Linked DNA regions of Elephas maximus indicus. The protein of the gene in region 3 purifies or fractionates together with the protein of the main gene of each other region. This does not show direct contact. Links are inferred from orthologs where the notes say so. Each region holds a gene or a part of one and is shown on either strand. Other genes may lie near its edges. The genes, in order: CEP97, CCP110 and CEP76.

What was found.
Region 1: the proteins of CEP76 (region 3) and CEP97 purify together in Homo sapiens (co-immunoprecipitation; 4 studies listed by BioGRID and IntAct, with this or other methods). This does not show direct contact. The link is inferred for Elephas maximus indicus from reciprocal best matches to the Homo sapiens genes CEP76 and CEP97.
Region 2: the proteins of CEP76 (region 3) and CCP110 purify together in Homo sapiens (co-immunoprecipitation; 4 studies listed by BioGRID and IntAct, with this or other methods). This does not show direct contact. The link is inferred for Elephas maximus indicus from reciprocal best matches to the Homo sapiens genes CEP76 and CCP110.

The regions. Positions count from the first base shown.
Region 1 is NC_064836.1:72,578,521-72,585,752, reverse strand, and holds the start of CEP97 (centrosomal protein of 97 kDa), read right to left. Parts: upstream 3,077-7,232; 5' UTR 3,015-3,076; coding exon 2,972-3,014; intron 450-2,971; coding exon 307-449; intron 1-306. UniProt on the Homo sapiens protein: Acts as a key negative regulator of ciliogenesis in collaboration with CCP110 by capping the mother centriole thereby preventing cilia formation. Required for recruitment of CCP110 to the centrosome.
Region 2 is NC_064830.1:79,358,122-79,365,932, forward strand, and holds the start of CCP110 (centriolar coiled-coil protein of 110 kDa), read left to right. Parts: upstream 1-4,766; 5' UTR 4,767-4,983; intron 4,984-5,518; exon of another isoform or gene 5,519-6,730; intron 6,731-7,811. Other genes in the region: GDE1 (glycerophosphodiester phosphodiesterase 1), read right to left, coding at 2,315-2,575.
Region 3 is NC_064829.1:9,168,568-9,176,500, forward strand, and holds the start of CEP76 (centrosomal protein of 76 kDa), read left to right. Parts: upstream 1-4,892; 5' UTR 4,893-5,022; coding exon 5,023-5,085; intron 5,086-6,451; coding exon 6,452-6,607; intron 6,608-7,933. Other genes in the region: PSMG2 (proteasome assembly chaperone 2), read right to left, coding at 1,750-1,921, 4,394-4,450. UniProt on the Homo sapiens protein: Centrosomal protein involved in regulation of centriole duplication. Required to limit centriole duplication to once per cell cycle by preventing centriole reduplication.

The DNA.
Region 1 (7,232 bases), on a different chromosome or scaffold from region 3:
GGCCCAGTAAACATTTGCTGAATGAATGAACTCTTTACCTCCACGGTGAGGTAAAAGGTTATCTTAGCAACACAACATTTTGCCAACATAAAATGTTTTCTTTTTTTAACAATTCTTCTTTTTCTAGTCCACCCTAGATGTAGTACATACGTTTTCATCATTATGAGAAACTGGTAAGTAAAAATTCAAGACATTTACTGCTTCCCAGGCCTGCAGAGTTATCTTCTATTTGGTGATTTTATTGTTTTGTTTTGTTTAATAATAAACTGGTCCTGTGTAACTATTTCCCCAGAGAATAACACTTACCTGTATTAATCGTCTGCATTTCTCAAGATTTTCCAGTTTAATAATCTGGTTTTTATCCAGAATCAAAGTATGGATATCAGCTTCACAGGGCAAGTTTAGACCTAATTTCTGTAGTCCTTGCCCTGACCAATTGACTACTGAACCTTGAAAAAGAGAAGGGACATTGTTGGAAAACACAAATAAAGCAAATACAACAGCTGAACACAAGGATGAAATTATACTTGCGAAAAACCTATACATTTAGAGTCAGAAAACACTGTTGTTGCTGCTCCGTGGGTCAAGTTGATTCTGATTCATATGAGTAGGATGTCAAGATTCTAAAAGTAAGCCCATCTTGAGTTCAAAATGACCAGACTGAAATTATTCACTTTTCCTTAGAAATAAAACAGTACAACTAGATTTGTGATTTTCTGTTCAAGTTTCTATAACACTTTGGAATTCTGCACATTTATATATGAACTATTACATCTATATGTTATAACTAAATAATAGCTTTTTAAAAAATGAAGTGAAGTTTTTATAAAGATCAACCTGCTTATAACCTAACTTCCAGCATATTACCCAGAACTCAAACTATTTTGAAAACTATAGTTCGGTTCTCTCAGGAAAAAGGCAGCCAAGACAAAGGCTATTAACCAAAAGAAGCCTTTTACTAAGCAAAAGCCTCACCAGCCTTCTTTTTACTCCATAAATGCCTTTGCGCATACTGAGCCAAAATTGCTTTCCTTTCACATTTGGAAGACTATATGGATTATGATCCAAACCAGAACCATTTTCACAGTGAAAGGTGATGCTAAAAATCATATTGTCATATACTGAAATACTGATTCTTAAATTGGTTTTATTTGTGGGCCTATTCCAAAACTATTTTCAAAAATAAAAGTATTTCTTAAAATATAAAAACAACACACCTTGTACATTAAAGCAAAAAAAACTTAACTATATTATTTACACATTAAAAATAAAATTAGCAGAATATATTATCTAAATATTCTACAATATAAATATTAGTTTTGTTGTTCAAGTACTTTAATCATTCAAGTACTTTTTTTTAATTCAAGTACTTTAATCAGTTTTCTTAGCCATATTTCTTTCTACAAATGTGTCCCTAGTGTTTTTTCAGAGGAATATACTTCTTCAATATGGCTTTGTTATTATTGTTATCATAAACTTGTCTGTAAACTTCAAAGTTGCATTTAATCTGAAATTTTTGACAACTTCAAAAAAAAAGTATAGTTAATTCATCTCTAAAATGAGGACAATACACCGATTTCACTAGGTTGTATTAAAAGAGAAGCCATGTGACAAACACTTAGTCCTGTTCCTGGCCCACAAACCATACAGCATTCAATAAAGTAATATAACAGAACGTTCAAATCCTGGCTCCATCGGGTTACTCCACTGTGATATCTTGGGCAAGTTACTTCTTTTGGGCTCACTTGTCTACTCGGTAAAATGGTGATGATAATACCTGCCTTATCATGTAGTTCTACACAAAATGAGATAATGTAACAAAAGCACTTGGAACATCCTCTGGCTCATAAAAATTGCTCTATAAATGTTAACTGCTATTACTGTCAGTAAATTGCCTGGGTGGGCAGAGAAGGTGGAGTTTAACAGAAGTAGATAGCAGTGGGGGGCGGGGCCAGAGAAACTTGTAATTTCAAATTTATACCCAGATTAGGACTGCGAGAAATAATTACGCTAAGATTGCTCCCTGGAAGGTTTCAACGTTTTTCCGCGTCTAAAATGGCGCTTAGCATTTGGGGGGTCATGGACTCCTCTGGGAATCTGATGCAAGCTATGTACTGTCCCAGAAAATGCCCACTCTTTGTTTGCACACCATTCCGAGGGGTTTGCCAGACCTCTTAGAACCATCGGGTCACCTCCCCCCCGCCCCGAACAATTTACAGGTCCCAAATAACGAGCCCCTGGTCTAAGCCCTGGAGATGGGTCCCGACTCCCTGCCCTGACCCCGATCCAAACGGCTGCTGAGGAGCCTCGGAGCGGTAACCAAAACAAAGGAGCTCAGCTCACGCCTTGCGCCCCAAAGAGGTACCTCCCGGCCACAGAGGCACCCACCCCCCGAGCTCTGTTGAGCGGCGACCAAATCCGTTCCCAGGACCCCGTATGCGTAAGGAGGGGTGGGAAACTGGGGGCTCTGGATCACCCCCTCCCCCCCATGTTATCACGGCCACCGTTCCCTTCTAAGGAGGGGTTCAACGTCAGTGTAGGAAAAGGTGTTCCGTGCAGTTTCCTGAACGTTCTAGAAACCGAAGGGAAAGAGGGACATGGCAGCGAAAAAGGAGATCCTGCCAATTTCATTCGCGGCCCCGAAACACAAAGCAAACGTCCAGGAAAAGACACCGCAGCCCCAAACCCACCAACCCCCCGCCCCGGCAGCACGGGAGCCGAGGTGCGCGCGCGCGCGAAGGCCCCTGGGGTCAGTAGTCCCTCGCTTGGCCCTCGCCGGGAGGCCGGAGGGCTGGACAGTGCCTGGTGACTACAACTCCCAGAAGGCAGCGCGCCTCCGCGACGCCCACAGCCGCGCATCAAAAGACCTGGTCCAGAACTGTACAGCTAAACCCGGGCTTCCCCTCTCCACCAGACAACTATTTAATTTGGCTCGGTAAAGTTTGGGACCCAGAGGTAGGGACCGCCTTACCTTCTCCCGAAGGCAAAGCCGCATCGACGCGCGCCACCGCCATACTTCCCGCTTGCTAATAATACCAGGCAACCGTCCTGCGGCCACTCCTGTGGAGCTTGTAGGCAGGAGGAGGGAGCCGGAAACTACAACTCCCAGGATGCACAGCACCCAGAAGACCTAATTGGCTGTTTAAACTTAACGGAGTGAACCCAGGGATTAGAAACTGACCTGTAATGAGCTCCGGAACACTGGTCCACTCCCTCATTTGACAGATGAGCAAACTGCATTATTGGATAATCATTTCATGCCCCTTTTCTAGGTGTTAGCGAAATTTGATACTTTTACCATCGGGATGATTATAAAGAAGCTACTTAATGTAGTCTGAACTTGAGAGCTCGCAGAAGTCTTGTGGGGACAGTCCCCACTATAGGAACGACTTCAGCTGTCTTATGATAGTCAAATAGATACATTTTATAAGAATTTAGCTAAGTAAAAGGATTTAAAGCATATCGAGATAGAAACTTTTTTACAGTATTTTTGAGCGGTTGTTTTCGAGTATTTAACAGAACTTCTGACCTGGAGGTACATTTAATAAGTATGAACCCAGAATTTTTCCAGGAAGTATTCGAAAGAAATTTGAAATGTATATAGTCTCCAAACTGAAGAATTACACTGCCTATGGGGGTCGCAATGAGTCAAAATCGACTCGGGGGCAACCGGTAGTTGGAGGGGGGTTGGCTCACACTTTTATTAGAATTGTTCCTTGCTAAATGGTTTTAAATGGTATGCTTGAACTAGGAACTCAATAAGGTTGTGGCGAAGGACAACTATAATCTTCAGGGAAGATTTGATGGAGGAAGTGAAATCGATCTAGGATTTAAACGTTGAGTAGATGGTTTTTGGGTAGAATCTGAAGTCAAGAAGTAGACAGTTGAAAAAACATGCACATAGGCTGCAGGTGGCCATGAAGCTGTGCTCATAGGAAGTGAGAAACTAACCTGACAGCACCATAGACTATATTAAGGGAGCTTCCACTTTCTACTACTAACTCACTCACTCCCTCTTTTAATCTTTATTCTGATCTCATCTTTTCCTGAAACTGTAATCTCCAAAGTCTCTGATAATTTCTCTTTGGGAAAATCCAGTAACTCATCCTTTTAGATTTCCAGGCACTTGATTCTATAAGCATTCCCTCCTTCCTTGGTTCTCCTCCTATCTGACTGCACCTGCCTTCACTGTTTTTGCTTTTACTGTTTCGTACTGTTTTAGTCTGAAGACAAATGTCCTAGTTCTGAAGAGGAAATTGAGTAGGATTTTTTTTTCCCCTGTAACCTAGAGACCCTTTACCTAGAGAGCACAGACTTACTATATATGAATACAGCAAGCCTCAGTGCTGCCTCCTTTTAACTCTTGTTCCCTGGAATGAGCAGTAAGGATTGAGGAGAGTCTCTAGCCCAAAGAGAGAGGGTTTACAATTCACTCCACTTTAGAGGCTAACGACTTGGGAGAGGAGTTCCTGCAAGTCTGGAGGGTACTTGAAGAGCACAGGATCCCACAAGTTTACAGCAATAACTGAAGCAGAGTTTTGATCGGTTCATCTGCTCTGGTGTTCTGAGCAAAGAGCCAAAGGACTCCTTTTCTGGGGCTAACCAATTATAATCATTAATCTTGAAGAGAGTGAACAGGTGTTCCCAGGGGCAGATTACCCAGTAAGCAAGGTAAGCATGGGCTTATTTGTGCTTACAAATAATTTTTTTTTTTAAATTGGTCACTACAAATTACCAAATAAGCACAAATAAGCCCATGCTTACCTTGCTTACTGGGTGAACTGTCCTTGTGAGGGACTGTAAATTTGAAAAGAGGCCTTGATTCTCTAAGAAGGTGCTGTGAGTTTGAGAGAAGGACAGATTCCAGCCATAACTAGAAACAAAAACTGTTTACAGATGATATAGTAAGCAAGGTAAGAACAGAGCTTACCTTGCCTATTGGATAATCCACCCCGGGTGTTCCTGAGCAAGGCCCCATGTGCCCAAGTGACCCAGCCACCCTTTAAAGTGACAGCACAGAAACTCTTTTGTACTTCAGATACAGCTTTTACATCAAAAATCAAATTACTACACTTAAACTAAATTGCATTGTCTTCTATATATGTTAACACTTACAAGCCCCAACCAATTTAGGAGATTCTAATAACCAACACCACTATGAACCCCTTGGCAAGGTAGCATTTCTTTGACAGGCCCAGGCCCACAAGGAAGACTTTCCTTTTTGCCAGCACAGCATACCTGATCCCTGCTACAGCTGATCGCCTGACTCGTCTCCCCCATCTCTAATTCATCCTGCCCACTGTTACTGGCATGATCAAGGTAAAACAATACCTTTCATCATGTTACTCTTTTCCTCAAACATATCCCACTTGAAATTCAACTTCCAAAAACCACCATAATCTGGCCTCACCCTATTTCCCACTGCTAGTTTTCATTAGGTGTTTTTGAGTGAGGGATTGACATAATGAAACTTGTGTTTTAGAAGGGTTAAACTGATCGTGTAGCAGGATGGACAAGAAGGTACAGACAATCGTGGCAGGAAGGAGACTGTTGTAATGGTGAGTGGTAACCTTCAACAAAGCAGCTTCAGTGGAGTGTTGGGACATAAGTTAGGTAAGATGAATATAAGAGAGGAGGAAGGCAGGGTACTGAAACCACAGGTTTGGACAGTGCAGTTTACCTTGTCGAAATAAAGGTGGTTTTCTAATCAGGATGAGAACTTGCATGTGAAAGAAGTATAATAATAACTTCGGAGTTTTTAAGTTTTAAAACTAGGATATTATTAATATGAAGAATTTTATCATTGTAAAGCTTTTGAAAATGTGCCAGTTTTTCTTACAGTAAAAAAAAATCCTTATTTATGCAAAAGTTTAGGTGGATAAAATTGAACATTTTCTTCTCTGGTTAGTATTTATTGGTAGCCTTTTATGGTTTGGCTTCCTTATCTATGATCTCCTGAACGGAAGGAGTTATTGCCACTATGAAATGTCTATCTATGGGTTATCTACCCGTCGCCGTCAAGTTGATTCCAACTCATAGTGACCTATAGGACGGAGTAGAACTGCCCCATAGGGTTTCCAAGGCTGTAATCTTTACAGAAGCGAACTGCCACATCTTTCTTCCGTGGAGCAGCTGGTGGGCTCCAACCGTAGACCTTTTGGTTAGCAGCCAGGCATTTTAACCACTGTGCCACCAGAGCTCCGCAGGTTATCTAGAAGCCCCAAATGAGTATTCAATTTCCTAATATTATTATCATAATTATGATTTATCTTTTTTTATGTGCTAGGCTTTGTAATACCTATGTTGCATATATTACCTCTAATTTTCACAAAATCACTGCAAGAAGATCCCAAGAAGTTAGGGTTGCCAGCTGTTTAATATGAGTATCCTTAAAGCCACTCACCTATGGTATTTCTGTTACAGCACTAGGAAACTAAGACACAGTGTTTTGCAGATCTCAATGCAAGGGAAGAAAAGTTTCCATATTTCAAAATCCATTTAACTGTGCAATTGAGGAGCTTTTACCTAACATTCAATTGGAAGTGATTAATCCGATATGCTAACAAAGCAATCAAGAGAATAGTCGAATTCTGTAATTGCCTTCCAAGAGATTAATGTGTTCGATTAAAAGTATATCCCTTGAATTGACATCAGAATTGGGCGGTACTGTGTGAAGATGAAGGGTATAGGACCTCCTCACAGCTCAGGATCAACAGATGAACATTTGCAACCCATTTTGATGATAAAAAATAATAATAATAATAGGGAATAATAATTTTGAACCCCAATTAAGCAAAATGTTACTCACCACTCCAAAAAAAGAATTTTCTTCTCGTTGGCATACCAGGATTACAAAAATATATTTATGTTATATTGCAAATATGTTTACATATAATACATCATAATATCGATGTCTAATTTCATCAATGACAATTTTGTGGAAATTATTTTCTCTTATTAAATAAGTACCTATGTGATATTCTTGATTTCGCCACTTAGCCTGCAAAGCCTAAAGTATTTCCTATCTGGCCCTTTACAGAAAACATTTTCTGAGCCCTGTTCCGTTGTTAGCTGCTGTCAGTCTGCTCAGACTCACGGCGACCTTGTGTATAACAGAAGGAAACGTTGCCTGGTCCTGCACCATCCTCACGATCATTGGTGTGTTTAAATCCATTGTTGCAGCTATCATGTCAGTCCATGTCATTGAGGGCTTCCCTTGTTTTCAGTGGTTC
Region 2 (7,811 bases), on a different chromosome or scaffold from region 3:
TCTTTTCATGACAATACCACCTCTTGTGCATCTATGTTACTTCATCTGACCGCCCTAAGTTTACAATGTAAAATAATATTCTTCAATATCTTTAGATTTATTTTTAAACGGAAGCTAGAAAAGCTACTCTACAGTCTCCTTTCCATCACAAGAGAACCAAGGGGAGAGAAATATAATAGAAGTTTGTTGTTCTTACGTGCTGTGATTCCGATTCATAGAGACCCCATGTGATAGAGCAGAACTGCATCACAGGGTTTTCTAGGGTGGTACAACGGTCAGGCGCTTAGTTGCTAACCAAAAGGTTGGCAGTTCAAACCCACCCAGTGGTTCTGTGGGAGAAAAGACCTGGTGATCTGCTCCCATAAAGATTATAGCCTAGGAAACCCTATAGGGAAGTTTTTCTTGGTCATATGGGATCACTATGAGTCGAAATCCACTCCACAGCACCTAACAACAACAAACTTTACCTGAGCAGATCTCCAGGTCTTTTCTCCCATGGAGTCTCTGGGTGGGTTTGAACCACCAACTTTTTGGTTAGCAGTCAAGTGTTTAACCATTGTGCCACTAACTTGGTTTAAAAATACAAAAACTGAGATACCCTGCACTGACTCAAAGGTTGCCTGATCTCCTTCTCTTGTCACATTTAGTTTTTTGTTTAGTTTACACCACAGCAATTTTAAAGAGTTATGCTAACTTTAGATTCCTGACAGAATAGCTTATATTTGTGGAGTTCTTACCACGGGACAGGCAGTTTATGTGGATTGCCTCATTGAATCCTTGCAACCTATTAGACAGATGAAGTCCCTGGGTGATGTAAAAGGTTAACTTACTTGGCTGCTAACAGAAAGCTGGAAGTTCGAATCTACCCAGAGATGCCTCAAAAAAAGGCCTGTGACCTACTTCCAAAAAATCAGCCAGTGAAAACCTCGTGGAGCAGTTTTACTCTGACATACAAGGGGTCACCATGAACTGGAATTGACTCAATGACAATTATTTTTAATTAGGTAGATATCAATATTATTCCCATTTTACAGATGGGAAAACTGCGGTTAGGGCTGTGACCAGGGTGAGGAGAGGTGCCCACAGTGCAACATTAGATGCCAACTCACACGCCTTGCTTGCCACACCCTAGTCATGACCCTGACTGGGGCACAGAAGCTTAAGTAACTTGTTCATTACACAATACTGTCTGTCCCTAGCTGGATAAAGAAAGGAAGGTTCAAGTTTTTACATCCTGGAACACATTCTAAACTATGACAAAGAGCACTGGGCTTGGAATCAGAAAGCTGAAATCTGGAGGAAGATGTATGCATTTGAGTCTCAGTTTTCCCACCCATTTAATGTGAAAGTCATGTCTCAAAGGAATGAGAGGATCAGATATATTTCCACAGATGTAAAAGTGTGTGGTCAACTGAAAAGCTCTTTTATTGTGCAAGCTGTCATTATTATGAAGACAGGAGACTGCCAGGAGCTGGGAGAGATCAACAGTCTCAGAAGTGAGTGCCTTGTAAAAATTGATCAGTGAGCCTGCCAGGGTTGTTGTGTGAGTTCAAATATATGCTTTGGGGATGTATGTGCGTGCATGTGCTATAAGGAGGTGACAAAGTCAGAGGACAAGCAAAGCACCACATTCCTGTGAAGGTTGTTCCATTTAGAATAAGCTCAACTATTGACCAAGACTCTTTGTGACCTGGCCACATTTCCTACTTCATTCACACATCAGCCTTTGTTCTGTTTCTTGAGTTCAGGCCTTCAACAGCCTTCTCTATTCCCTGGACACTCAAGAAAGATCACTAACACCTCAGAGCTTTTGCACTTGCTGTTCCCTTTGCCTGGAACACTTTTTCCCCAAGTCCCAGGGCTGGCTTCTTCTCATAATACCAGTTTCCATTCAAATACTACTATCTAAATATATCACATATACTAACTTCCAGTCATTCTTTACCCCATTACCGTATTTCTTCAGTGCACTTTTTGCCCTATTAAAAGTATCTCATTTACTTATTTAAGGCCTGTCTTCCCTACTCCAATGCAAGCTCCGTAAAGGCAGGGACCCTGTCGGCCCTGTTCATGGCTGTATCCCCTGTGCCTGGCAGTCGGCAGGCGTTCTATAAATATTTGTTTAAGTATTCTATAAATACCTGAAGCCCGGCGAGTCCCAGATACTGGGAAGGATCAAGGGCCATAGTAATGCATTACTTGAGGGCTAGCAGGTAACCGGGAAGGCTATCCTGAGACTGGGGACCTTTGGAAGGTCAAACAGAAGCCCAAGCTTCCAGGTGGAGCTGAGGGGCGAAAGGCGTGGGGGGCTCACCTGTCGGATGGCCGCCAGGGTGTTCTCAGGCGCGTCGTGGCCGCCACCGCGGTGGGCGATAGCGGAGACGCGGCCCCGGGGCTTGAGCACCTGCAAGGCCCTGAGGGAGGGCACTGGCTCAAAGCTGAAGAGGCGCAGCAGGACGTAGAGGCCGCCGGTGAGGAGGCAGGCATTGAAGGGGCTGCGCGTCGCCAGCAGCAGCAGCAGCAGCAGGAAGGAGAAGGGACCCAGGAGGCCCCCCTGCTCCTCCCACAGCCACATGCCGGCGCCAGCACCGGCAAGGACGGGAGTCCCGGACCCGCCGGGCTCCCCAGACAGGAGAGCGGCAGGCGAGGGTGAGAACCCGAGGCGTTTGCCCCAGCTGGCACCTTCCGAGGGGACCAGTGCCGCACAATGGCGGCGACAGATACATCCGGAGAAAGAGACGGAAGTCTAGCCAATCAGAGCCCGGGATCTCCAGAGCGCCGGGCGGAGCCGCTGCCATGGCAACGGAGGCGGGCCCTGGCCCCGGGTTCACGTTCCAAAGTCACTTTTGGATTTTCTGAGGTGGAGACCTTAACATGGACTTTGAGACTTGGTAGAAGAGAAGAAGCGGGATAGAAGAGTCGTCGTACGGTTGTACGGCTAGAAGGGATCTTAGTGACGCCTTCATTCTACCTGGGAGGAAACTGAGGCAAGGGGCAGGACGCTTAGCCTAATCATTTATTCAGTTAAATTCAAGATGCGCCCAACACACATCCAGGTCCTGGGGACGCGGCATAAGAGCAGGACCGACAGGGTCCTTGCTCGTGTGGAGCTTACGTCTTAATTGGGAAAAATAATGTTAGTAAGTAGAGCTATCATTTATAGAGCGAGCATTTACCGTGTCCCAGGTACTGTGCCCAGCAAACGCTTTGTATGCATTATCTGATTTACTCTCAAACAGCCTCAATAGGTAGGTACTATTTCAGAAGTCTGGTTTCAGTCAACTTAACAAGCGATTTTCAGATTCTGAGGAAATGAAAGAACATAGCAAAAGAAGCACAGTCAGATTATAAAGCTGGAAGTGATTTTAATCACTCTCATGGACGAGGAAACTGAGGCCAGGAGCAGTGAAGTCAATGGAGCAGCTTTAATGGTAGAGTCAGGACAGACATCAAGCCATTCCATTTTTAGGCCTGTGACTTTTCCACTGCTACTACTCCTTCCAATCCTACTTCTCCTAAAGAAGTCAATAATTGGGGTTTATGTAGGCATTGTGTAAAGATTATTTCAACTGTTATCCACAATGACTTTGTCATAACCAAACCAAAGCTAAACCCGATGACATCGAGTTGATTCCCACTCACAGCGACCTTATAGGTCAGAGTAGAACTGCCCCACATGGTTTCCAAGGAGCACCTGGTGGATTCGAACTGCCGACCATTATGGTTAGCAGCCGTAGCTCTTAACCAGGGTTTCCAACCTTGTCATACGTTGATATAGGTAAAATCTCCATTTCACTTGTGCAAAAATAGGCATTGGAGGAGGAGGAGTAAGAGAGACAGAAGATATAGCCAAGTTAGGGGGTGGGGGAAAAAAAAATTTGCTGTAGGGTCACCTCTAATTTATGGCAACTTCATGTATGCCATAGTAGAACTTTGCGCCATAGGGTTTTCAAAGGCTGATTTTTCAGGAGCAGCTTGCCAGGCCTTTCTTCTGAGGCGCCTCTGGGTGAACTCAAACCTCCAGCCTTTTGGTTAGCAGCCAAGCAAGTTAACTGCATCACCCAGGGACAGAGGAGAGAAATTGGCCACTAAATCATATTTTGAAAAATTGGTGCCATACTGTTTAGATAGAGAACTTTGGCAAAAGATTTAGGGCTTTTTATGTCATCTTGAATCTGTTAACTTTCTTCTTGGACATCTTTTCCCACTGATTTGTAAAAGGGTAGGGATGTCTTAGGGCTTAGCGCTGGCATCTGTGGATTCAGCAATATTTTATCTACAGAGAAATAATTTTGGTGAATATTGTATGTTTTCCAATGACCATACAGCAAGAGTTTCATCTCTATACATAAAGTAAAAAATGGTAATTTTAAGGAACTTTTCAGAGGCCTTCAGACCCTTAGGAGCGTTCCTACTGTAATAAATTATAATTTTAGAGGCCTTTACTTAAAGTGGAAACCCTGGTGGCCGTGGTTAAGAGCTATGGCTGCCAGACAAAAAGTCGGCAGTTCCAATCCACCAGGCGCTCCTTGGAAACCCAATGGGGTAGTTCTAGCCCGTCCTACACTGTCGTTATGGGTCCGAGTCTACTCCACGGCAAAGGGCTTTACTTATAATGAAGACCACGTCTCCCAGCGTGCACCCTGCTTGCCATAAAGTCTACGCCCTCCATCATTGGGCGAGGGCGCGTACCCTGGCGCGCAATGCACCTTGGGGATTGTAGTTTTTCTAGGACCCGCTCCTTCCAACGGCCGGGGAAGCAAGCACCGGAAGTGCCTGCCCTGGAAGGTGGAGTCCGGGCAGTGGCGGCGGCGGCGGTTGCCAGGTTCCCGCGTTGCCGCTTGAGACCCGTAATATGGCGGGGAGGAGGAGGAGAAGGCGGCGTTGGATCAAGCTGCACTCTGTCAGTGCCATCTGAACTACGTGCTTCCTGACGAGGCCCGGAGCGAGGAAAGAAAAGCTGTTGGGGCTGTGAGGGACCAGGTGTGTGCGTGAGGAGGGGGCTCGACCCTGAGCTGGTCAGGGCTGAGCGACTACCGGGAGAGACGGAACTGGCGCCCTGAGGAGCTGAGGGCGGGCTCCACACTGAGCCCGAGGGCAGGTGCTGGGCTCCGGGGCCGCGAGCCCCTGAAAGGCTTCGGGTGTGAGGAGGCTACAGCCTGGGGGGCCGGCGGCACCGGGCGCGGAGGTGATGCTCGGATGCTGGCACCGCCTGATGGGCCTTTGGGAACTTGTCTGAGGAGCTGGGTGAGGTGGGCGCGGGGCGTTTGGGTGAGGGCACAGGTCCCTGGTAAATAAACGCTGCCCAACCCAGCCCAAAGCCGAAAAATCACCTCCTGTTGATAGAACTGTTCGGGGCCGTGTTTCTTCTCCCACGGTGCTGGAGAGGGAGGGGCCCCCAGGGGCTGCACTGGCCATTTCTGAACGCCGGTTGCCACAACCAAAGGCCCTAGGAGCGCTGTTTACTTTGCCTTTGCGACTCTCGGGGGCGTAAGGATAATAAAGCAAATTCTCTTGATTGCCCCTGATGCTGCTAGGTGGTTCCCACCCTTTGCTATTCTCATCTGGGTGTGGGACCAGTTCCCTGCCTCCAATTTAGGCAATTAAGTAGGGCGCCTAGAGATTGATTTGATGGGCAGAGGGGTCTGGAAGCAGCGAAATGAGGAAGCTGTTGTCCCCCTTTCCATATTTTTTAAGTTACGTTTGAATCTTACCAGGAATCAAGCACTGTCGCTGCCTTCCAGAAATTCATAGTCATCATCATCTTCATAATTAAAGCAGCCCCCATTTTTGATGGTTTCTGATGTCCTTCACTATGCTAATTGCCCTACATGCATTATCTCATTGAATCCTCACAAAATCCCTTTGAGAGGGATACTCTGATTATCCCTGTTTTACAAATGAAGAAACCGAGGCACGGAGACGGTAAGTGACTCAGACAGCTAGTCAGTATGTATCTGAATGAGAAACCTCACCCTTACTGCCTGGACCAGGAGTTTACATCTTGTGGAGGACTGATGGGTGGGTAAACCATCAGCTCAGATCTGAAAAACAAGGCAGGAGCTGTTCTGTTACTTTTGTCATTCCCATCAGTGACAATTTTGGCAGAGTACTGGTGAGGTGCAGATAGTAGAGCCCTGAGTATATGGGGTTTGCTAAGAGGCTCAAGTGGAGAAGGGTCAGTAATACTTGTATGGTATAAATGGAGAAGACAAAGCATGTCTGAACTTGTTGCAACTGACAGATTATTAATGGAAGTGGACCAGTAATGCCTGATGGTAAAGTATGGGGCAGTAGATTTGTGGCTGGGTGGCCTTGTAGTCAAATGCACCCTTAAAATACAGCCTGGCTGACAGTGGTAATTGTGGTGTGAGAAATGTTGTGCCCTCATCCTTAATCGTATGGGTACGGACGGCTCATTTTTTAAATGGTTGCCTTTGCACTTTAGAGGTACCAGTTTCTCTGAGAACAGAGTCACACATGAAACTACTGTCTCTAAATTCCCTTCTTACTTCTTTGGTATTCCTCTTTTTCTGGTTTACCTTATTGTTTGAGCTAATTACCCTAATTCATTTATTCCATACTTTTATCGAGTACCTAATGTGTGCAGACACTACGTAACGGGGATTCAGTGGTGAGCAAGACTGAGAAGGGACCTGTGCTTATGGAGCTTACATTTTGGTGGAGGAAGACAGAAAAAGCCAAGGAAGTAAGATAATTTCAGACAGTGGTAAGTGCTGTGAAAACTGGGAGACAGCAGGGTAATGTGATAGTGAGTGAGGCACTAATGTATAGATGGGATAGTCAGGGATGGCCCCTCTGAAGCTGAGAGATCCTGAGGTGCCATCTCCTAAGGATCCACTCCTGCTCTAGGATCATTTGGTAGTTTCCATGATCTCTAAATTAGTACCTTTATTTGAATGTTTGAAACACTACCATGTGCTGTAAATTATGCTGTAATATGCTACAAACGTGAAGGACAGCATGCACTGTTTAAGGGACGTGAATTTAACTTTCTGAAGCAATGAGGTATATTTACATGATGTTGTTAAAAGAAAATCAAACTATTGCCATAAATGTTGTCTTAGTTAACTACTGCTGCTTTAACAGAATACCACAAGTGGAGGACTTTAACAAACAGAAATTTGTTTTCTCCCACAGTTTAGGAGGCTAGAAGTCCTGGCTCTAGAGGAAGGCGTTCTTTGTCAGCTCTGGAGGAAGGTCCTTGTCTCTTTTGAGCCTCGCTCCTGGGTGATCTTCATGTGGCTTGGCATCTCTCTTACCTCATCTCTGCTTCTCTCTCTTGCTTGTTTAATCTCTCTTATATCTCAAAGTAGATTGACTCAGGACACACCCTACACTAATCCTGCCTCATTAACATAACAAAGACAGCCCATTCTCGGATAAGATTATAACCACAGGCATTAAAAAAAAATTGCCATTGAGTGGATTCTGACTCATAGTGACCCTATAGAACAGAGTAGAACTGCTCCGTAGGGTTTCCAAGGAGTGGCTGGTGGGTCCAAACTGCTGGCTTTTTGGTCAGCAGCCAAGCTGTTAACCACTGCACCACCAGGGCTCCAATCACAGGCATAAACCCAGTGCCATCGAGTTGATTCTGACTCATAGCGACCCTATAGGACAGGGTAGACCTGCCCCATAGAGTTTCCAAGAAACACCTGGTGGATTCAAACTGCCGAGGCTTTGGTTAGCAGCTGTAGCACTTAACCACTACACCGCCAGGGTTTCCATCACAGGCATAGAAGTTAGGAATTATAACTCGTATTTTGGGGGGACACAATTCAATCCTT
Region 3 (7,933 bases):
TTGGATCTAACTTCGAGTTACAGAAAATACAAGGGTAGAGGAACAAGCCAAATGACTCCCTAAGGAAGTAATCAGGTAAATGTAGCATGTGGGACATTCTATGGGACAATGGACCTAGTTTCTCTTCAATCAGTCAGTTTTGTGAAGAAGGAAAAAAAAGAAGGACTACTCTAAAAGATTTCAAGGACACAACAATCAGATGTACTATGGGTCCTAGATTGTGTTCTGGTTTGGACATATGTAAGGGATATTTTGTGGTAAAGCGGTAATTTCAACATGGATGGCATGTAGAAAGTTATTAAGAAATGCCTCACTTTGTTAAATGTCATGTTATTTCAGGTATGTTTCTTACCTTTCAGAGATGCATAGTTACATGTTTGGGGATGAAATGTCATTTTGACAGTTGAAATACCTCATTTTAAACAATAAAGTGGATCGAAGTACTTTATCACTACAGTTGACTTGCTGCTAGTCTGTGTCAGAGAAAAGGAAGTGGATCTTTTACTGGAGTGAGCGAGCATGGAGAGGACAGTGTCGTGGTGAAGAGGCAGCTCACAAGGCCCGGCTGCCTTGATTTCAAACTCAGCTACACCAATTATTAATCACGTGACCTTGAACAATTTACTTATCATCTCTCTGCCACCGTCTCCTCATGTATAAAACTACCTCATGGAGTATCTGTGAGGGCTAAATGAATTAATACATGTAAATATACAGTGTTCAGTTCACAGTAAATGCTCAGTAAGAAACAGCTGTTATCATTAGTGGAAATTATATGAATTCTAGTCCTCTCACTAAAATCTTTTATCCTTTAATGCAATAACTGAAATTCATCTCATGTTAATCTTCCCTGCAGGAATTTCAATAATAAAGTTATTTCTCAAAACTGCATTTCCTTATTGCAAAGTTAGAATAATGTCATGGTTAATAAGACTGACAGAAAACAAAATGCTTCTTCATCTGCTCTTTAATCCACTTGGGCCCCTCAGGCTCCTCTACTACCTTTGGCTTTCACCCCAAAATGGTAAGCAGAAGACCGAGAGGCCAATAGAGCAGTTGGCCATCAAACCAAGTAACGGAGTTCCTGTGCTTCACGATCCACAGCTTTCCCTGATTCCCATGGTGCTATCTCACAGAATCGCCCAACAGCATCAGTGCAATGTGAACAGTGTTCCCTATTAACCGTGCTTGACATGTCCAATGAGGAAATCAGGACTTTTGGAAACATATGCTAAAGGAAAAGCCCACCCTTACTAAGTGGCATTTGGCAACTCACTCTCTCTAAGCCTTACTACCTAATCAGCTTATTACGGATTCCATAACAATGCAACAAGACGACTTGGAGGCTTAGATGAGAAGTACATCTTAAACACTAGGACTGAGTCCAGGCGAATTCTCATTGCCACATTTCCCTTGTATGAGTGATAACGATTACACGTGCCAGTAAGAACAGAAAATAAAACTGAGGATGAAGGAGAAAAAAATTCATGTTGGGGGGAAAAAAAGGAAATCTTAAATTCTATCTAAAGACACAAGTACAGTTACACCCCTCATAAATGCTGCCATTTACAAAAAAAGGCTAAGACCTAAAGCCAGAATGTAACAGGGCAATGTGACTGGGTCATAATACTCACTGACAGCACAAAACCAGCACTAAGTAAACATTTGCTTCAAAACAGTATCTGTGAGTCTATTTCTAATTTAAAACAACTCTGTAGTAGAATAAAACATGCTGCAAGTTGTACATACCCTCAGCATTTATACTGAGTTCTGCTGCGTTTTCTTCTGTGGTTGCATATGGATTGTTTCCAACCATGGGCACAAGACAATCGGTATAAAAGTAACCAACCTTAAACATATTCAGCGTGGAAATAATCAGATCTATTGCAAGCTGGCCAACATTTCCAACGGATACTGCTGGCTGAAATCATAAAAGATATATTCGATAAGTCATAAAATGTTAGCAACACTTTTAAAATTTAGACTGAAAATAATAATCATAGTACTAGTACTGAACGCTTATGCTTGGGTATATCACAGCTAAATACTGACTCTTTCATTATCTATAACTGTGATGTCAGCTGAGGCCTCCTCCACCTTTCACACAATTCATTTACCAAATATTTACTGAGCACCTACTATGTGTCAAACGCTGCTCTAGGCATTGGGGATGGAAAAAAAAAAAAATCAGAAAAAAAATTACTGCCCTTGTGGAGCTTCCTTTCTAGTGAGGATGTGGTTTACCCGCAATAAACAAAATAAATAGGTAAAATATATAGTAGTAAGTACTATGGGCAAAAATAAAAGAGAGAAAAGGGATATAACGTGAGTGTATATGTCCCTGTGTGCAGTTGTTTGTAATTTTAAATTGAGTGTCAAAGAAGACTCACTTCAGGTGCAAAGTGACTACTATGGAACTGAAGGAGTAAGGAAGAGAGGCATACAACAACCTGGGAATGAACATCCTAGGAAGTGGGAAAGTTGTGAGGTATGTACAAAAGCAATCTTGGGTCTTCTTGTACCACTTTCTTTGCCCACATCTAAAGGTTAGAGTGACCTTTTCACACTAAACACACACATACTTATCCCCATGACTTCAAACAGCCAACTGAAATCTCTGCCTACAGCTGAGAACACTTACTTGAGCTCTAGCAGCTAATGGATATCTCTACATGGTTATGCCACAGGCACCCCACATTCAACATGTATAAAACTAAACAACTGCCCAAACCTGTCCCCATATTTTGTATTTCAGAAAAGAGCAACACCATTTACCAGATCACCTAAAACAGGAACCTTCTTCCCTTACCAGCTCTATCTAACACATAACTGATTTTCATTGATTCTTTCTCTAAAGTATCTCTTTAATGGAGTTACTTCCAACTATTGCTCTTTACCGGCCTTCATCCTATTTTGCTGGGCCACTCACAGTGGTCTCCCACTGTTCACACCTGTCATCAACCCTGGCAACCTCCAGTAGTTCCGTTTTTCCTCTCCAAGACTTTGTTTCTTTGGTTATACTCTTTCTCCTGTACGTTGAACCTGCCAGCTACCCCGTGGGAGAAAAATGTGGCAGTCTGCTTCCACAAAGACTACAGCCCTGCCTGGTCCTCACATGCCCCTCTATCTCATTTCTGTGTCCCCACAAAGCCAATACCTCTAACCTTTGTCCTCTGAAACATGAGCAGGAATTTTATTGCTGAACGAATACATACAAATCTCCACATCCTCTAACTCATTCCATAAGCTGCAGCATGGGTTTCCTCTCCACTGAGAACTGTTTGCAAAGGTTACCACCCACATCCCACATGTTGCTAAATCCCAAGCGCACACTTCCTCGTCTTACACATTCGCCTACTTGTGACAAACAGGTATTCTCTCCTTCTTTCAACACTCTCCTCTCTGGCTTCATGTGCTTGATATTTAATGAACAAAAGGACGGCTGTTCACTCTTCAGCCATACACCACTTCCAACAGCGCCTTCTGCAAAGGTGTCTCTTGGGCTCACAGGCCTGCAGCCTATTATCTCTCAATGAGTCATTCCCAGTCCAAATCCTCCAGCTCCCCCATGCCGGTGTGTCTCTGGGGTAGACATCCATTTTCCTGAAATGCCCTATTCCTGCCCCCCAGCCCCCAATACCTCACTTTCTGGGCGTTAATTTCTTTAGGAAGCATTTGAAGAAAAAGCCCTGTGCCCACTCCTCCTCCCCACAAGTCTTAGGGCCTGTCAGCAATCTTTTCAAACTTGCACCCCAGCACTCACTGCCCTCGTCCACTGACGCGTTTCCAGGTAGACTACGAACTCCTGTGGACAAGTCTTATCCTAACATTCGTACGTGCCAGAATGTTTACTGAAACACTGCATGAACGTGGCCAACTGCACAAGCGATAAAACCGTGTTAGCTACTGGCAAAAAAGTGACTTTTATTACTACCACTGATTTTAATACTTTTACAGTAAACTCCCATTTGCTTAAATTCAAGCTAGTAAACGACATGGTTTAAGGTTACATTTATGGTTTCTTAACAGAGAGAACCTCTGGAGAACAGCATTACTTTGCTAGCTTAAAACCGACCTAGAAGTAGCTGGGAAGACCTCTGAGGGTACACTTGAGGACGATACCCTGTACAACCCACGCAGCCCAGCAGCTCGTGTCACAGCTAACAGACGGACTACCGACTCGCACAAGCCCACAGGTCCACGAAGGCTCTCGAGAACCGCCGCCTCCCGCGACAGACAGCCTCTGCTGCCCCTTCAGTGAGGGCTGACAACTGCACAGAAACGGCCCCTCTCTCCCCCGACCCTGCGCGGCCCGAGCCCGGGGGATGAAGCCGCCGGCGCCTCCGGAGGCCGTGGCCCTGCGGGGCCGCCGAGAACTCGCCAGAGAACCCACCATCAAGAGGGTGAAGCCCGTGAGCTCGGGCGCCGGGTCCACGCAGGGCACAAACATGGCCGCAACGTGGGGCTGAAGGAAGGGACAGAGCGGGGGCGGCGGCGAAGTCGACCTGCCTGCGGCCCGAGCGGCGGGAACGCGGAGCGGGAACAGCGGGAACGCGCGGAGAAAGGAGCAGACAGGACTCGAACGCGGCCGGGCCGGCGGGGTCCTGCGTCCCCTCGGCGCCAGGTCCTCGGAGGCCTTCCAGTTTAACTGCCTGCGCGGAAGGCGGGAAGAAACTGCGAGGGAACGGGAAACGGAAGGGCAACACGTTCGGAGACCCTGGAAAGGCTCATCGGCTGGTGTGTGGAGGCTGCGGGGGCCCGGGGACACCCGCTCCCGGCCGCTCAGGCGGCGCTGGGGGCACCCCGGGGCTCGCCGCTCCGCTCCCCGGCTCCGCCCCAGACGCCCCGCCCCGCCCCGCCCCGCCCCGCCCCGCCCCGCCCCGCCCCGTCCGGCCTTAGAGCGCGCGCGGGGAGCTGACGCGGTCGTCGTTCGGAGGCGCTGTCGCGGTAGTGGTTCGGCGGAACGCCGGCCGTTGGGACTCCCAGGCCGGGTAGGAGCGGTGGCGAGGCGCGGCCGGCGACATGTCCCTGCCCGCGGAGAAAGCCTCGGAGCTGAAGCAGCTCATCCACCAGCAGCTGAACAAGGTGAGGGCGCGCGGGCTCCTCCGTGCCAGTGTCGGTCCTCGGGGTTCGGGCCGGGCCGTGGGAGCAGAGGTCGGAGCGGCAGAGGTCGGAGCGGGAGAGGTCGGGGGAGCAGAGGTCGGAGCGGCAGAGGTCGGAGGGGCAGAGGTCGGAGCGGCAGAGGTCGGAGGGGCAGAGGTCGGAGGGGCAGAGGTCGGAGGGGCAGAGGTCGGAGGGGCGAGGCTTGGGTTTGCAGCCAGGAGAGCTTTCTGGCCTCGCTGACAGAGACTCGCTGAGGAAGCGGGAGTGCCGGGCTGCGCTGACGGACGGGTCGGGTTCTGGGGGACCGTGGTGAACAGGAAGTGTCCGTCGAGTCGCTGCAGGAAGTCAAACCTGCGCTTGGATCCCGTGTTTATACTCAGACTTGAAAAGTCAGAATCGGTTTAAGGGTGAAACACGAGGGTGCCGTTGAAATTGAGCGGGTAGCTTAAACCAGCAGTTCTCAAAAAGTCATAGAAGAGAAGGCGCTAAAGTCTGTAACAAAAATATTTGTGATGCTTTGGAGCAGGAGAACACGGAATGTTCGGGACACTCAACTGAATGCAATAAGCTGATTTGAAAAAACCGGGCATTTGAAATATTAATAAAAGCTGCCATGTGTTGTGCACTTGTACGCCAGGCTTTGTGCTGGGTGTTGAGCATCTGTCATCGAATCCTGACCACCAACCTGTGAGAGGGCAATACTTTCCTCATGTTATAGACGAGGAAGCAGGTTCAGGAAGGGTAAATAAGTTGGCACGAGGTTACACCTCTAATAAGTTGAAAATAAATTCAAACGTTGATTTATCTACTCCAGGTTCTTTTGATGTTACTGTATTTCTTTTTAAAAGATACATATTTTACTTGAGTCTTGTTTGTGCGGAAAAAGTAACAGATGACCAGTAGAGACTCTAAAAAATTTGTACTGAAAATTTCATCTTTTTTTTTTTTTCTTAAAAACAACGAAACCACTTGCCCTTGTTTTCACTGAATTGTGGTAACAAGTTTACAATTAACTGGAGAAGCCTGAAACCCAAATTTCCTAAGTTTAGTCTCTAACATCCCTGTTATTTTTTTTTTTAATAACATTTTATTGTGTTTTTGGTGAAAGTTTACACAGCAAGTTAGGTTCCCGTTTGACAATTTCCACACAGATTGATCAGTGACGTTAGTTACGGTTTTGAAGTTGTGTCAAGATTCTCCTTAATTTTGTTCTGATTGTTCCCCGTTTTTTTCTTTATTACTTTGATTTAGTATTTTAGAAAGAAACTGGTTAATTGGTAATATTTGGCTGCTTTGATACATGTGCTCTTCAGGAGAAAAAAAATTGTAACGTGAGTTTTCTACGTAGATGGATGTCCACGGCAGAATACGAGAAATCCTTGCTGAGACTATACGTGAAGAACTGGCACCTGATCAACAACAGTTATCAACAGAAGATTTGATCAAAGCCCTTAGACGTAGAGGAATCATTGATGATGTGATGAAGGAACTGAATTTTGTTACTGTGAGTAATGATTTAGGGAAAAAAAGTTGACAGTGTAAGTCTGTTCTCATGCTTGACAATGTTTATAGGGTGCATATTTGGGGCCTCCTTTTAATAAAACCGCTTTAAACCTTTTTGTCTAGTAATACCCTAGTTTCAAGTATTTTTTTTTTTCAAGTATAAGGTAGCTCTACGAATATAGCAAATAGTATTATTTGCTATAATATCAGTGAAATTGGAGGGGATTCCACATTCCTGTCTGTATATTGACAGAATTTTCTCGTTATCCTCCAGGTCTACAATTTTAAATGCACATATTTTAGTCACATTACTTCATCATGTTATTAGGTGCCATCCAGTTGGTTCAGACTCATAACGACCTTATGTATAACAGAATGAAATGCTGGTCCTGTGCCATCCTTATAATCTTTGATATGTTTGAGCCCATTGTTGCAGCCACTGTGTCAGTCCATCTCACTGAAGGTCTTCCTCTTTTTGGCTGACCTTCTGGTCTGCCAAGCATGATGTCCTTCTGCAGGGACTGGTCCCTTCTGATAACATGTCCTAAGCACAGGAGATGAAGTCTTGCCTCCTGGCTTCCAGGGAGCACTCTGGCTGTATTTCTTCCAAGACAGACTTGTTCATTCTTCTGGGAGTCCATGGTATATTTAGTATTCTTTGCCATAACTCAAAGGCATCAGTTCTTCAGTCTTCGGTATTCATTGTCCAGCTTTCACATGCATATGAGCCTGTTGAAAATATCATGGCTTAGGTCAGGTGCATCTTAGTCACCATAGCAGAGTTCTTTTTCATTAAGATTATAGTGTAATTTTTTTTAGATTGACGAGCTTATTTTTAAAATAAATGCATTTTTTGGGGAGTGAATTTTCTATGACTAACAAATTATAAATTTCTTTAAGAAAATAGTGTGACTGCTTAAGAGCCCTCAAATCTTTTCCTACAAATAGGTCAGTAGCAGAGTGATAGCCTCTCAGTACATAATTAGTAAGTAGGCCTTTTGAAAATGAGGCAATAATGAGAAGCTGTGACCTCAATACCTGGATAACCTGATGTAAAAATTGGAATGGATTTTATAATACACGAAGGAATAAAGTGTTTAATACAGCATCCTTTTTTAGTTTTTGAGGTTTAGAAACCTATTTATTATTAAAAAATGACCTAGTAACAGCTTCTGCTGTGTGAATTACACTTCCTTGTAAAAACCTGCTCATGACCATTCATAAACCAAATGTTGTATGAGGTTTAGAAAAAGTTTAGCTTTCTTTAAGTATTAAGGGTTTGTATTTAACACTTCTGTTTGTTTGAAAACAATTTCTTAGTGTTAGA